Linked DNA regions of Lepisosteus oculatus. The protein of the gene in region 1 purifies or fractionates together with the protein of each later gene. This does not show direct contact. Links are inferred from orthologs where the notes say so. Each region holds a gene or a part of one and is shown on either strand. Other genes may lie near its edges.

The links. Proteins that work in one complex are often made in the same cells at the same time.
Region 2: the proteins of mrps27 (region 1) and noa1 purify together in Homo sapiens (co-immunoprecipitation; 3 studies listed by BioGRID and IntAct, counting the BioPlex papers as one, with this or other methods). This does not show direct contact. The link is inferred for Lepisosteus oculatus from reciprocal best matches to the Homo sapiens genes MRPS27 and NOA1.

Annotation. Positions count from the first base shown.
Region 1 is NC_090698.1:24,317,959-24,325,904, reverse strand, and holds the start of mrps27 (small ribosomal subunit protein mS27), read left to right. Parts: upstream 1-4,839; 5' UTR 4,840-4,848; coding exon 4,849-4,924; intron 4,925-5,390; exon of another isoform or gene 5,391-5,518; intron 5,519-5,835; coding exon 5,836-5,913; intron 5,914-7,946. Other genes in the region: ptcd2 (pentatricopeptide repeat-containing protein 2, mitochondrial), read right to left, coding at 1,399-1,516, 2,322-2,451, 3,462-3,554, 4,484-4,619. UniProt on the Homo sapiens protein: RNA-binding component of the mitochondrial small ribosomal subunit (mt-SSU) that plays a role in mitochondrial protein synthesis. Stimulates mitochondrial mRNA translation of subunit components of the mitochondrial electron transport chain.
Region 2 is NC_090696.1:33,267,012-33,274,707, reverse strand, and holds the start of noa1 (nitric oxide-associated protein 1), read right to left. Parts: upstream 3,008-7,696; 5' UTR 2,872-3,007; coding exon 1,617-2,871; intron 1,216-1,616; coding exon 1,051-1,215; intron 683-1,050; coding exon 471-682; intron 1-470. Other genes in the region: polr2b (DNA-directed RNA polymerase II subunit RPB2), read left to right, coding at 3,331-3,349, 4,375-4,447, 5,308-5,458, 5,657-5,769, 7,194-7,413. UniProt on the Homo sapiens protein: Involved in regulation of mitochondrial protein translation and respiration. Plays a role in mitochondria-mediated cell death. May act as a scaffolding protein or stabilizer of respiratory chain supercomplexes. Binds GTP.

The DNA of each region.
Region 1 (7,946 bases):
TTGGTGAAAACTGAAGTATCTCTCACCATGTTGTTCTTATGTCTGAAGAAAAATGTTTGGAAGTGAACAGTTTCTTAAACTGACCTTGTTAGTGTTACTTACTATTTTAGTTTGCCTATCGCTCTCTCTAGAGAGAAATCATTTACAGCTGTGTTTTTTTTTTAAATGGAACATTAAGACATTATATAAAATATATACCCTCTTTATATACTGTACATCTTTTAATTTTTTTTTCCTGTTGAATGAAAGCAACTGTCCAAGAAGTAACCATTTATAAACAACAGCTCCCTCTGTTGGTTATCATGATGACAAATTGCGATAATCTTTTAAACAGACATCTTGCAAAAAAGATTCCACTTCTCTTGAGATGGAAATTATATCTATTGGTTGAGGAAGCTGCATTTTGAGTTAGTTTAAAATATTTTAAACCAGAATATTGAATAAACGGATGGCACAGAGGCACAGTGGTTAGCATTGCTGCCTCTCAAACCTGGGGCCCTGGGTTCAATTCCATACCTGGGGTCATGTCTGCATGGAGTTTGTATGTTCTTTCTATATTCACGTGGGTTTTCTCACACAGCCCAAAGACATACTGGTAGGTTAACTGGCTTCTGGGAAAAGTGGCCCTGGATTTAGTATGTGTTTCTGTGTGTGCTCTGTGATGGACTGGCATTCTTAAAATGAGTGACGCTACCAGAAAATAGCTGAATGGATCATATTCAAGTAAATAACATTCAATATGTGCGAGAACTAAACTACAATGACAAACAATATAAAGATACCACAGGAAATGCATACAGTTGTTCCTTGTTACACTGCCAAGACTTACAAAGGCATTAAAGGTACTGATAAACTAGGATAGGTATGATAAATGGGGCAGTTTATAGATGATGCAAGAATGTTCTAGAAGAAAATAGAAATATGAGAAGCTGGTGTTATAATAAGACAAATGAACCGCATAATAGAGATTTTGAAAAAATAGTTTGAGACAATGATTCATTAAGACACTGAAATTTACACTACAAATTCACTAAACAAATCCATTAATATTCAGTGACATAGCACAGAAGTACACAGCTTAATGACCATTTTAAATGAATACAATTTAGTGATTTACAGCATACTAAAAACTATACTGCAAAGGGATGAAAATATCCAGTTCCATACAAAATGTAGGGTGCAGTACAGAGCAACATGGTCTTGTGAACATTTATAAATGACTCACCGAGTTTGAAGTAAAAAAATCCTGCAAGCAATATATTTAAAAAAATAAATACTTTGGAGACCATGTAGAAATTGATCAGGATAATAACAGCATGAATTCACATGGTGGTGATGATTAAGAAACATATGAAGAGCTGAGGAATATGTAATCTGGGTTTCTAATGAAAGGTTCACCTCATCTTTTATGAGCTCAGCTGCAGTTTCTTCTAAACCCAACTCATAGCACAGTCGTACAAAGACAGGTCCAAACTTGAATTCTCCAAAAGCAAAATTTCTGTTCTCATTATGGTACCTAGAAGAGAAAAAGCAAACCATAACACAGAAAAAATAAGCTCAGTTAGCTTACAAGTGTACTAAATTTTCAAGACATGATGAACCAGTATTTGTCTTATTTTTGCCATTTTGCTCTACAGTATTGTTTTTTCCTAGAAAAACAAATCAAACAACCGTGTTTAAATATCTTGTCACGTCTTAAAAGACAGGTTTGGTCAACCCAAACAAAGCTAATAAAAAGCCTTGTATATCACCTATTCTTTAGTAAGCCTTACTTGACCCCTGAAAATAAAAAACTTTCAAGTTTGCTCGGAACTGCTGACACTGAAATTGGATTTTTTTTGCCTGGGAGAGAAAAACTGCATTCCTTCATTCCTCAAAAGGACACTTTTATGTAAATGTGATGATCTGTATTATTACAACACCCATTAATTTGGAATTGTGACTCATATCAATTATAGTCATCTTATATATTTTATTTGAATTTGCGTTTGTTCAGTATATATTAACTCACATTTTCTTATGGAACTAGACAATTACACTTACCCATACAATTAAGAGGCCAATAAGATATGTTCTCTTCTTCAAACAAACTAAAATGGGGTAAATCATAAGCAGTATCATTTCCTAAATACAAAGATCCAAGTTTTGTTTTCACAATTAAGGGGTGATGTTATAGTAATTCTTTTCAATGTTTTTCTTTTCTTTGAACCTTTCCAATTAATTTGTATGCAAAAAGCACAGGTTTTCTGAGATTTTAGATGGCAGCAATCCAGTGCTACCCTTTCAGCATCTGTGATAAATAACTTTCCTCAGGCACTTACTTGTATATTACATTCTTTGCCATTTCTACATCATCCGGGGTTTGGCACAGATGCAAGAGCATTTTTAATTCATCTTTCAGAATGAGGTCATTTCGTTGTATCTTTTGTTCTAACTTCTGAAAATACTGTTCTGAAAAATAATGAAGCACAAAAAAGCAAAAGTGAATCAATTTTGTTGGATATGAGAGTGTTTCAATAAATAAGGCAACAAAAGCTCTCAAAGTGATGCATTTATGTGTAGACAGCTACAAGTATATCCAACGCTAACTCTAATTTGTGATGCGTATTCCAGCCTTGCCATGCAGGCTAGTTTTGTTGAGTGGTCGGGATATTATTGACATATCAACTCTGAAAGTCGTTAGTCACCTCACTAGTTTCCTCTCGCCCAGGTACTGAGTTCGTCCAGTTAGTGACTTGGTTTTAGAATACACCTTCAATGTCAACATTTAGTATTTTTGAAAGTTTTTACATCTTTCTCCTAAGATTTTGCACAACTTTATCCCTAAAATGTATCTCAAATCACTTTGGCTTTCATAGATGAATCTATGATTCTATGAAGTCTGAGGGATCTTTTAGAGCCTGGTGTATTTATTCTGAAATCACATGAACCATGATTACTGCACCCAGAGGCCAGTCAAATATCTGTGACTTGCCAAAGTAATATAGTGTTCACCTGAACTTATATATATATAATATAGGTTTGCCATAGCAAATAGGTGAATACTTTATATTTCACTAATATTATCATAATAAATCAATATTTTCATTTTTGTTTTTTTTCTGCACAGATTTGTTGACATTTAATGTTGTTCAGCAATAAAAGTGTCCAGCTTAAGCTTTGAAGTTCTGATTAACATGTTAACTTAGATGTGTATCCATCACTTGTAAAACAAAACAGGAATAAATGGGAGAATACTTCTGCGAGGCATTCTAATTATTGCTACTCGCCTACTGTATATTAAAATGAAATAAATTAAACAGTAAGAAATAACTATTTAAAATGCAATAATAAATTCTTATGTGTAAAAGTGTACAAAGTACAGTAGAAAGAACACCCTGCGCCAAAAGGAAAGGCAGTAACTTGGATCCAATGCAAGAAATCTTTAATCCCTGTCTGAAGATTCCTAGTATAATAGTTACCTTTATTGCCATACGTCTGGTGAGCAACTGCTATTTTTCTTTGTTGGAATTCTTGTAGTCGTATAACATCCTCTGACAATAAGTACCGTTTTGCTGCAGATATAAATTAAATTATAATACAAAAGATTAGAATGTAGTTATTTAACATTGACTACAACAATGAAAATCCTAAATAATATCTTATCAGTGATATTTGTTTAAAAAAAATCAATTTTACATTATTCAATAGTTGTTTTACTTTTTACTTTATATGGCCCAAATGTCCACTACTGACTTGACTGAAAAGATAACAAAATGGATCCAGAATGGTATATGATGTTTTTTTTCTTCTACTGCTTTTGAGCCAACTTGATTTGTGCTCTCAAATGGTGCTAGGTTTTTCTAACCTTTTTTGTGACTAAATGAATACAAGGGAGAATTTGAGAAGTTATCTAGAGAGCTGAAAAGATGGCCTAATAATGTACCTGTAGTTTGGGCATATCTGAGAACCCCAGGATAACATATGGGATAAGCAGGGTGGAAACTTTCAGAGATGTAATATTAATACTGTGAATACACAGTTGTACCACTACAGTGGGAAATACACCACATTACCCTAGATGATCAGCCTGCTACTCATCAGTTTGTCATGGTACATTTACTGTTAACAACAGAAAAAGATACACTATGCACAGTATGGCATAATTTCCAATTACGCATACAAATTGCAAAATTGGGTTGATGATTTACAAAATTACAATACAATTTGACTTGGATCTAGCTTTGAACAGTAAGACTGGGAATGCAGTCTTCTTGAATGTAAGAAAGCAGATATATCACCTACTGTCTAAGGAACACGAAAACAACTGGCAATACTAAAAATTCTTAAAATCTCTCCTACGAAACAAATTTAAATTGCGTACTCTTCAGACGTTTATCTGATACGTATATACATACGTTGAAACAATAACTGCAGTCGTACAGCAAGTTCGAGTTCAGCCAAACACACATTACACATAGTGTTAACTTAAGAGTTTCAATACCGTAAAAAGATGTAAATGACGTACCGCCTAACCTGCAAGTCCAGCATTCTGATGGTTTTAAACCAGAATGAAAAGCTTTGCGTTTGACATTGCATAATAGATTCCTTAAACAAACCCCCATCTCTCTCAACGCCATGCTGTTATGTGACTGAACCAATTATTTACAGGGGGTGACACACTTTATTTAAACGATCCGAGAAAGAAAAAAAACACATTTTACATTCAAAAACTTCGTGGATATTCATGTTTTTTATCAAATGTAGTTATTTATTTTTGATATGTACATTTCTGTAGCTGTCATGAGCCACCTATTTTTAAAAGGTCATTTACACCCTTTACGTCATCAAAAATTGCTTCATTCCAAAATGGCTGCTTCCATGTTACAACGCTGTGTTTTGTCTACAAGGTGCTTAACAAAGTATGCAACACAAAGTTTAACAGGTAATATAGGGAATTAAATCAGCTACAATGGTAGCGTTGATCTTTTTCATACTGCTTCTTATTTTAGATTTTCAATGTCAGATTATTGCTGGTAGTTGCCTAGCTGTCATAGTGACAGTCCTTTTACCAAGTAGTAAAGGCGTCTGTACCCCAGAGGTTAATAATTTATTAACTGAAGTGTTCGTTTAGGTTTTTTAATACTGGTTGATAAGGATGATAGATTTGCATGCGGTTAGGGAAAGATCAAGGATACGTGTTATTTTCTGTGTGCAATGCAGCACCAGGTAACGTTCAATGCTGTGCGATGTTCAACGCTTAGCCGTCTCTTGGACTGCCTCATTCGCCTTCATTGATGATGTAACTAGTGATGGCAGCAGTAGAATAAACTCTGAAGTTTACAGAAACATTTCTGCGTTACATTTAAAATTGGTCAGTCAACAACAATTGGTCAGACAAGTCAGTCTCCAAATTTAAATGTAACGGACCGCGTATTTTACACGATCAAGGAAAAAAGTAAATACTGTACATCGGAACATTGGCAAGAGCCCAAAGTAACTGCAACAGAACATCTCAGACATGTGCTAAAAAAATCTGGTGAGTTCAATGCGTCACCAGTTTAATGCAGTTTTTGTCAGAAAGGGATATGCAACAAAATTACTTGCACCCAATGTCTCAAATTTACTTTAGGTAACCTGAAATCTCTGTGTTGAACGCAAAATATGTTTTTGTTCTGATGTGATTGATCAGTGCAACTATCTAAAAACAAAATGTTCCAAATATTGTATTTATCATTCATATTAACCTTATGATCACAAATTGCTTAACTTTAAATGCAAAAGTAACAGCTGTGTCTTTGTTTCCCAGTACCTTTTTGAGGATACTTGTGTTATATTGTCCTTTTGTTCTTCTAGCTAGAAGATACCTTTTGTCACCGGCATACACAGATACTGCAAAATGGGAAGGGAGACGGAAAGACCCTCAAAACCTGGGTATGTTCAAGCAATGTTACACTTCCTGAAACTCAAATTAAACTTGGGTACAAAATGTAACAGATAATTAATTTTTGCTATCAATATTTCAGCTGATTTTTTCCTGCAATCCATTAAGCAAAAACATCGACCTTTGGTGCATTTTCTGTTAACATTCCATTTCTTTGTTAAATGTACAGTATCTTATGATATGAAATATAGCGTAAGATCATTGTATATTTTATTTGTAGCGATTTTACCTACAATACTGTGTCATAGCTGCAGTAAAAGACATAGGTGGAAAGGTTTTAGGATTATCCTTTACTGTACATGCATAAATAGGAGATTAAAATGAAAACAGAAGGTACAATATACGTTTCTTACAAGTTACCTTGTAATCGTATTCACTGACACATTTCATCCTAGAAAAAATATATTTTTGTTGTGAGAATGACCCTTATACATACTTGCTCTCAACCTTAATTACTTAAATTAGAAAGAAAAATTGAGGGGCTGTTTGTCCTGTCCTCTAACTTCAGCCCCATTGAAATGTTGCATAATGTGTGTGACAAGAAAGTGAAAAAGAAGAGTTTAATTAGCATAAATATAATTTAACCAGGGAGATGTCTGGAGGAAATTGATCAATGTTAAGAAAGTAACCACACACTCAGAAAATGGTTTAAAAAAATTAATCCATTTATATCTGCATAATAGACAGCACCAAGTTTGTTGAAAACGAATGGATTATTACAGAGCAAGAAAATGATGGCCAGCTTGTTCACAATAGTAAAGATCTCTTTGCCAGGACTGAGCGAGACAACACCCATTGCAAATACTTTTACATCACCATAAGTCAAAACATGTGTCAATCATCATCTCTGCATCGTTAAAATGATTTGAATGGGATATGAAGTCTTTCTTTTGCTATGTAGAACTAAATTGAAAAAAAAAATCATATAGTGCAATTTCTTTGTTGTCAACCTTAATTTTAACCAGTAGCTTTATAAGTTATACATGTAGTTGAAAATGGAATAGCCAATTATTTGTATTACTGTATATGAACGCTCAGGTTTGAATTTTCAGATCTTATGGCATCCTGCTTGCCATACTAAAAGGAATGTAAACATTTTCCGCTGTGTGCACATCTCCTGGTCACCAACAGAGGGCAGCATTGCCTTGCACAAAGGATAGATTGAAAGCACCAGTCCTGGTCCTGGAGAGCTGCTGTATCTGTGGGTTTTCATTACAGATTGGTTCTGAATAAACTAAACCAGCTGGTTATTATCTTAACTGGGCCAATTTAAGAGCTTCTCCCAGCTATCCAGGTGCTTCTGCTTTAAAACACCAATCCCACACAGTTTCCTATTTTGTAAATATTTTTAATTCTGAGTGCACTATTCTGCTTTTCTCATCTAATTTTTAATTAACTCGAGAATATCAAAATTTCCTGCAGCAGAAATGTAGACACCTGCTAAGAATTGAAGCAGTCAGTACCTGCTCATTAACCCCACACTTACTTTCAAAGTGCTATGCTAATAAAAAGGCAAAACCATAACGATAATGCCTACAAGGGTCTGATTTTGAGTTCCTTGTTGTCTTTAGCTTTCTTTATGCGATAATTAACTCACCTTTTCTCCTCTACCTATCAAAATTGGCATCATTTGCTCACCCAACAGGTTTCTCCATGATGACTGTATTGCTGTCCAAACACTATCTGACCTTCAGTTTTCTGTTTTTTTCACCAGTGAATTTCATCATTCTGTAAAATGAGGCCCTCTGCAAACATACTTAGAAGCATGGAAACAAAATGACATCACCATAAAATATTGCAATATATAATGTATGCAGCGATTCAGGAAACATGACAGACATTTTTAAGAACATTCTCCAAACTCCTGCTTCTAACACAAGCCAGGTTCGGGCTTTTCACAAGATTATTAATCTGCAAGAAAGTCCAATGTTTCACAAAGGTATTACTATGATGAGGTACAGAGTCCCTCTATGCTTTTCTGAGTAGATGTATAACTCTGATGGAAATGATCCAATTTTATATC
Region 2 (7,696 bases), on another chromosome or scaffold:
TTTCCAAACCCCTGCAAGTTCATAGTGTCTGAGAGCTATAACGCGTTGCCTGGTGTTCTGGATGACTACAAGAAAGAAGTCTGTACGTGGGTCTGATAGAGGCGACCTCTATGGGCACATATAAGGTTCTGAGGGGCATCTACATGGAAAAGGGAGCTGGAGTCAGTGTAGGACAATCAGTTTCCTCTGGGAAATAATCAAGCTTATCAGTACTAAAGCTTCCCATGTCTGCCTGGAATAAAAACAACTACAAGATGGCACATTTTAACTAATAGGGATAGCAATAACTGACCATGGGCACCAGCAGACAGTAAGTGTTTCAGTCAGAGAAGAGCTCTACATCTGACATGATGCTGCACTCATGACTCATGTCTGATTCAATATATTAGGTGCATGTAGTAATTATTCTGCAGCTAAGCACAAAGATTGCATTGGCTAAACGTACAATACGTTTTAGCAAAAGCACTCACACAGTGTTCTTTCATAATTCCCGGGGTGTCATACAGCCAATGCGCATCTTTGAGCTCGTTGTGGGTGAACTCCACTGGGTTGGAAAGAGCTGATTTTTTACTCATTCTGTCTTCTTCCTCCTCTCCCACACTGAGACTTTCTAGATCAAAATCCACAACATCCATATCTTTCTGCGCCTGGACAGCCGAGCCAAAAGATCTGCCAACTCGCCCTGAAATGAACAGGGAAGACAAATTCCTTGTCAACCGTGCAAGTGTGGCAACTCCACCCCCACAGGAAGTCTTTCATTGGGCTCTTGAAGAAATCAGGGTCATGGAGGAACAGGAATAGGTTTATTATTATAATTATGGGCTTGAAACCAGGCTGTGTTAAGGTACCAGATGCTGGAATGTAAGTTAAAGTGAGGACTGAGAGTTAAGGGGAGCATAGGGTTAGAGTTAAGAGTTTCACTGTGTCATTTAAGTTAGGGTTAAGGGGAAGTTTAGATTTAGTCACAGGGTTTTTATTCTGTCTCCTTTTAATTTATTCAGGCCTGAACAAATGTTGATCTGGTACTGTCATAGAAGTCAGAACTCTTACCTACTAAATATCCCTGCTTGCTGAGCTGCTGCAGTCGTCTTAACTCCTGTGGGCTCAGGTCCTTCTCTGACTGAGAGCCATCACTCTTCAGTCTCTCAGACCTCTTGAACATGCGATATGGAGTGGGGTTGATGATTGGGAACTTCAGGAGATTTAGTGTGGTGCCTCATGAAGAACAGATAGGTTAGTGTCTGCTTCCATCTGCAACAACCTAAAATATGACCACCTAACATGGGATAAATTTAGGTTTTGACAGATGGAAAACAATACTTTTCATACACTGAGCTGAGGGAATAGCGAAAGGTATTTCTTCCTCAATCATCAAAACATCTAGTGATTTAGACTGAGGTTTATTACACTGTTCATACAAAGACTTCACATAAACATATCCTAATAACTTGAACTTGGCACTGCAAGGCCTTTACTTAGACATATGGGCAGTTTCTCTGCAAATCATGCTAAACCTCACTGCATTATATAGTGCCTTCATAGGCTTCTACGACGAAAGAGAGCGGGTCTTCACTTTGCACTGGCCTGCAGCCTGGCAAATGTACAGTAATAATTACCTGGCCATCGAGATATGGTAGCTTTCTGAATCACATCTGGAGCTTTCGACTTGCAGTAGTCTGACTCCAGCAGGGTGTTAAACAGTGTAGACTTTCCAGCATTTGCTGTTCCAACCAAATACACATCTCCTTTATATTTCCACGATCTTTGAAGACTCGAAATTAGGTTTTCTATCCCATAGCCGGTCTTGGCGCTGATGAGATGGACGTCTTTGGTGCCATCGCCTAAAGTAATACCTGCGTCAACACAATATGCAAAAAGCTGACGTTTAATTCGTTTTAAATAGCAATCCGAATCGCCAGGTAGCAGATCTATTTTATTTCCCAGAACCACTATGGTTTTATTTTTGCCCACTAGTTCTAACAGATCTGGAATGATAGAATCGGGAATATCCAGAAGGTCCACAATGAACAATACCAAAGCTTTTTCTTGGCGTATCCGACTAACAACATTCCGATATTCTTCTTTCGAAACCTGAATATTTAAAGACTTTTGGTGATGGACAAGCAAGAAACATCGCTGACACACCGCTCTGTCCATCTTGTCCTCCTTTATTAGCTGTTTGTATTTCTCACTGGGTACATAACCGGGCAAAATCGGGTCAGTGCAATGCATACGAGCACCGCATCCCGAACAGCTGTTGTCACTAAAAGGAATCTCCTTATCTGGAGTGCCGTATATTTTTTGAGATTTTTTCCTTTTAGAAGTTAATTTAGGAAGGGGGAAGCCAGCGTCATGAAATTCTATATCCATTTCTTGTACGTCCTGGTCCTGGTCTAACACTGTATCTTCTAATAACCGCATCTGTATTTCCAAAGCTCTGTGATACACCTCTGTACACGACTTTCGCGATGCGTTTCTCTCTTTATTGGCCACAGACCCCATCTGCGAAGGGGGTTTGAAAGAAACCCCATCATCGTTCTCTTCCTCTAGGTTGGAGTAGTCTAGAAAGACGAATTCTTCTTCTTTTTCTGGTTCAATCGATGTGTAAGAGTTTCCAAGACGTCCCTGCTTTCCGCTGTCGCCGATTGCCGCTTGCGTTGTGCTGTAACAGCGGGCCACTGACGTCCACGTGTCTTCCAAGCAGAAGATCTTAAAAGTTGGCACTTTTCTACAGAGTCCTGGACAATTGCGTAGAATAGATGAACAGCGATTACCTTGTCTGTCCCCCAAAGTTGGTAAAAATACAGGAAACACATTCCGGGCGCAATAACAAGCAGGAGCACATTGCTTTAGTCGGTATAACCTCTGCATTTTTAATATAATTAAAAAAGAAATTATACTTGAAATATTTTTTTAAAGGTTACGTTTTTTCTTCTTAGTTGAACCTTGAATGGCAAATAATAACATACACATGTGGTGCGTCTAGGAGTCTTCCATTTTTAGTACTCTGACTCCTGTGACGTATATGATTACCACATCAAACCATCCGAAATTATTATTAATAATTATTATCACGATTCTCTTTGTATTATTATTGAGAATATCAATTACAATTAACATATTTCTGGTGGTTCAATTATTTTAAAATGTTTCGTTTGACGTCACGAAAGCCTGCAGGAAGTGACGTATACACCATCGATATCTCGTACTGTTGTGTTCAGGTGGTGTGGATGGAAGTAGAGGGTTATAGCGCACTTATTTTTAATTCAACGTATTTGTAAGTGTTTTTTTTTCTTTTGGAGTCAATAAAGGAAGTACCTTCAATCCAATATGTATGATCAAGATGAAGGTAGGTATCTGGTTTGTTTAGTTCTTTTTTTAAACAATATTTTGAACATGGCGTCAGGGTACGTTCTTTGATTTTTGGTCTGTATTGTACAGAGGTGTCTTATAAATGCAAAATGAATTGTGCCATTAACTCTGACACGTTTAACGACATCTGTTATTTAGATTTTGTGCATCCTGAAGTTTGTTTTAGAAATATTGTGCTTCGTTTTCAACATTCTCAGTCTAAACCGTTCGTATTTACAGTCACTTTCAGCACATGAGTTCTAAATTTGTATTTTGAAATGCATTCAACAGGCGAGAGCTTTACATCCAAATAGGGAAGGTGATTTTCCAAAAAGCTTTTGGCATTTCAGTTTTATCAAGAAACGCCAGAAAATGAAATCGGAGGAACGGTAATTAGTTCATGGTGGTTCTAACATCTCATTTTGCGTACCACTGTCCTTAGGAATTAAAAACGTGGCCTTTTCTTTAATGTTCGAAAAGGTTGCAGAGTAGCAAACGTTATAAAAGTCAATTTCGGTGAAGTTAACAGATGCCTCCTGATGTATTAGTCTAAGTTCTGTCTTTCGACAAACAATCACACTCGTGTCGCCATTGTAACAAAGCTGCTTCAGAGAGGGCAGGTTATTGAGGAGAATAAAGATTTTTTGCTCCTTTTATCCTTGATCATGCCTTTAGGAAGTGGAATGAAGCAAAGTGCCTGGAGAAAATTCATATGTGTACATGCAGTGCGATCAACTCTGCATAGGCGGCACGCTGTCTCCAGAGCTGTGAGATAGCAGGTCCAAGTACCATGTCTCTTGAAAAGCTTTTTACCACGCATGTAGTGTAAAAACAGTTTCTGTGAAAATCAAATGCATTAAGGGCCATCTTACCTTTCTTTGTTAGTTTCATATGCAGCAAGCTTTCTTCCTGTAGAAGGTAACTGCCTGTGAATAATACTTTTTTAGGGGGAAGTCCAAAGAGAGCATAATATTTTATGTGGATGGGGCTCCCTTAATATTACAATTCTGTGGTCTTGTTTAGATATTCAGTATGATGAAGATGACGATGAGATCACTCCAGACTTGTGGCAGGAAGCCTGCTGGATTGTCATCAGGTGAGCAGCCTAAAAAATATAACATATTAACCACCTTCACCTTTTAGGGTTATCTTTTGATTTTATTGATCTTATTTTTGACTTAATACTCACATTTCAACATTCTTCTGTGCTGTAAAAGTCCAGCCCTGGTCCCAGTGACGTACAACCCAGCAGATTTTGAATGTCACCATTAGTTTTCCTACAAACAATTGTAAAGACTTGAGAACTGAAATGAATAATTTCAGTTTTGTTCATTTTTTAAAGCTACACAGTTTAAAGGTTGGTCATTCCTGATTTAGTTGAACCAGTTACCTGACTAAACTGATCACAGTCCACATGTTGCAGGTCCTTACAAAGATATAATTTAAGGATGACCTATAAGACCTACTTGATTGTGGCTCTCCACTGCAAAAGTTGAACTGTTTTTCATTTTGTTTTAAGTGTGTCCCCTTATATATTCATATATATGTTTGTCTGTTTATGTCCAGTCAAGTTCTATCCTGCTTTTTTAAAAAAGCACATTTTTTTTCTGATACAGATATACAAAGTTAAAAACATTTCTGGTAAAGGGTTTCACAGATTTGGCTGTAATGAATCAGAATGTATTTAAAGTTCTAAAACAGAAGGAAATGTTGGGCTTTAATGAAGATAGTCTATAGTTCACTGTCATTCTTAACATTGCAAGCTGCAGTTTGTCTGATGCAGTCAGCATTCTTCCTTTCTGTGCAGTTATTCTGACCTATATCTATAGAAGCAGTAGTGATCATCTCCTGTAATGCAGATCTTCAAAGCAAATTCAGCCCAGGTTTTTTTCCACATTTGGGGCACAAAGGGGGAGAATGGTATTAGTAATGGATGGCCTGTTCTTGTCTTCGTAGTTCTTATTTTGATGAAAAGGGTTTGGTGAGGCAGCAGCTGGACTCTTTCGATGAGTTCATCCAGATGTCAGTACAGAGGATTGTGGAGGATGCCCCACCCATCGACCTGCAGGCTGAGGCCCAGCACACCTCTGGAGAAGTGGAGGAGCCCGTGAGTCTCTCGACGGCTTGAAAAGATTTTTCCGGCATGTGACCCCAAGCAGTCTGAAAGTGTAGTGATATGTATTGATGCACAGATACGTCTGATTAATTGGTGCAGGGGGCGGTTTGCCCACAGTAGGGGCGATTTCTGTGAAATCAATGGGTGGATTTTGCATGTTTATCACCTCTTGTCATCTTTTCGTTCTAGCCACGTTACCTGCTGAAGTTTGAGCAGATTTATCTTTCCAAACCTACGCACTGGGAGAGAGATGGAGCTCCTTCTCCTATGATGCCAAATGAAGCTAGACTCCGAAATCTTACGTAAGTTGAGCTTTACATTGTTGTGTTGCTCCCTATTCTGATGCGATCCCCCACATTGTTTAGTTTTGTCCATTGCTGTTGCAGAAATGTGCTTCACACCAGGGTTTTTTTGAGAGCTAGAGCAGCATTGTGCAGCAGGGGTTAGGTCTCTGAAACTGGAAGGTTAAACTCCAGCTGAGACAGTGCTGTTTGTACCTTTGACCAAAGGAATTCACCTGAAGTACTCCAATAACAATACCTGGCTTTGATATTTTTCCATTTTAAAATAAAGTTGGACACTGGGCTCCTCATTTCTGGTCTACCTTCTAAAATAACGTTTCTCCCATCACAATATCAATTTCTGGATAATTTATTTCTCTTATTAAGGGAATGTATTTTAACCAACTGGTTTAAGAAAAACACCCTCTGTTACATTTTGGTATGGTGAATGTTGTAGTGTACTGCCCTATGGAAGGCTTAGTGCAGTTTCCATAGGAGAACAGAAGATCATAAACTATGGTCACCTGTTACAGAGTATTTGCCAGTGGCATTAACAGAATTGTTGCTTAAGGGTCAGTGAGTATGAAAGTGAATCCCTCTGTGGGTTCCCCAAACTGAGGGAGGAGGGGTTAGGGTGGATGGTGGGGGGATGACTGAATGTGGAGGAGAGGACAGGATGGATGTCACTAGTTGAAGACTGGAGATAATTTTTTTATCTTTATCTTTCTTTTATTGTATACTATTTCATGGTGGATTTTTTTCTTCTCTTAATCTTATTGTTTTTCAATGATGGATGGTATTTGAATTTTGTTGGAAAATTAATAAAAGGATGTAAAAATACCCAGTTTTGAGTTCCATTGTAAATTGGTTTGGTTTAAAGGGTCAGTCGGATAAAAATGAGTAGAGAGTAAAGAGTACTACCTTTGGAGAAGGTGTGCATGAACTGACATCAGGTGTTCGAAGGATAGCAAGTGGCCGACTTCACAGCTGGTCACGAGTGATTAGTTTACGTAAATGACTAGTATAAACTGTTAACCTAGTGGAGTGTATGTGTCCTTTCTTTTGCGTTCCTTATCTTGATATGAAATTCAAGTCAGACCCAAAACATTGCTGTGTTTGTATCGTACAAAACACTGGGGTTTGGCACATTGTCCTGGCCAAATTTCATCCTGGCCTTTACCAGTCATACCCTCCTAATAATCCCTATCTCTGACTTCATCACTTTGTTCTCCTCCCCACTGATAGCTGGTGTGTGCTGGGTGTACTGGTGCACTATGTTTGCTATTGCATCATCCAGATGGGTGCTGCACATTGGTGGTGGTGGAGGGGAGTTCTCATTACCTGTAAAGCTCTTTGAGTGGAGTGGCCAGAAAAGCGCTATATAAGTGTAAGCAATTATTATCTTCTGAATCTATTGATGTTCACAAATTTTTTTCCTGGCTCAGGTACTCTGCTCCTCTCTATGTGGACATCACCAAAACCATCATCAAGGAAGGGGAGGAGCAGCTGCAGACGCAGCACCAGAAAACCTTCATCGGAAAGATTCCCATCATGCTGCGCTCCACCTACTGCTTACTCAGTGGGCTGACAGACCGTGATCTCTGTGAGCTTAATGAGTGTCCCCTGGACCCGGGAGGCTATTTCATCATTAACGGATCAGAAAAGGTAAAAGGAATAATCCTGTCCAGCTGAGCACAGCCGATGGACAGACATTTCATGTGAAGTGGTGTTTTACAAAGATTTTCATACTCTATAACAGCAATAGGGACACCTTTAGTCAAGTCTTTGGCATCGGTCAGAAGTATTTAATGTTTTAATTGTTAATAAAAATCTGCAGATTTTCCAAAAAAAAACATTGTAGATTGTCTGGTTAGCTTCTTTTTGAAGAGCGGAATTCATACATGGAGAGAACTTGAAATGGGCCAGATCTTGACACAACCTCTTGCCC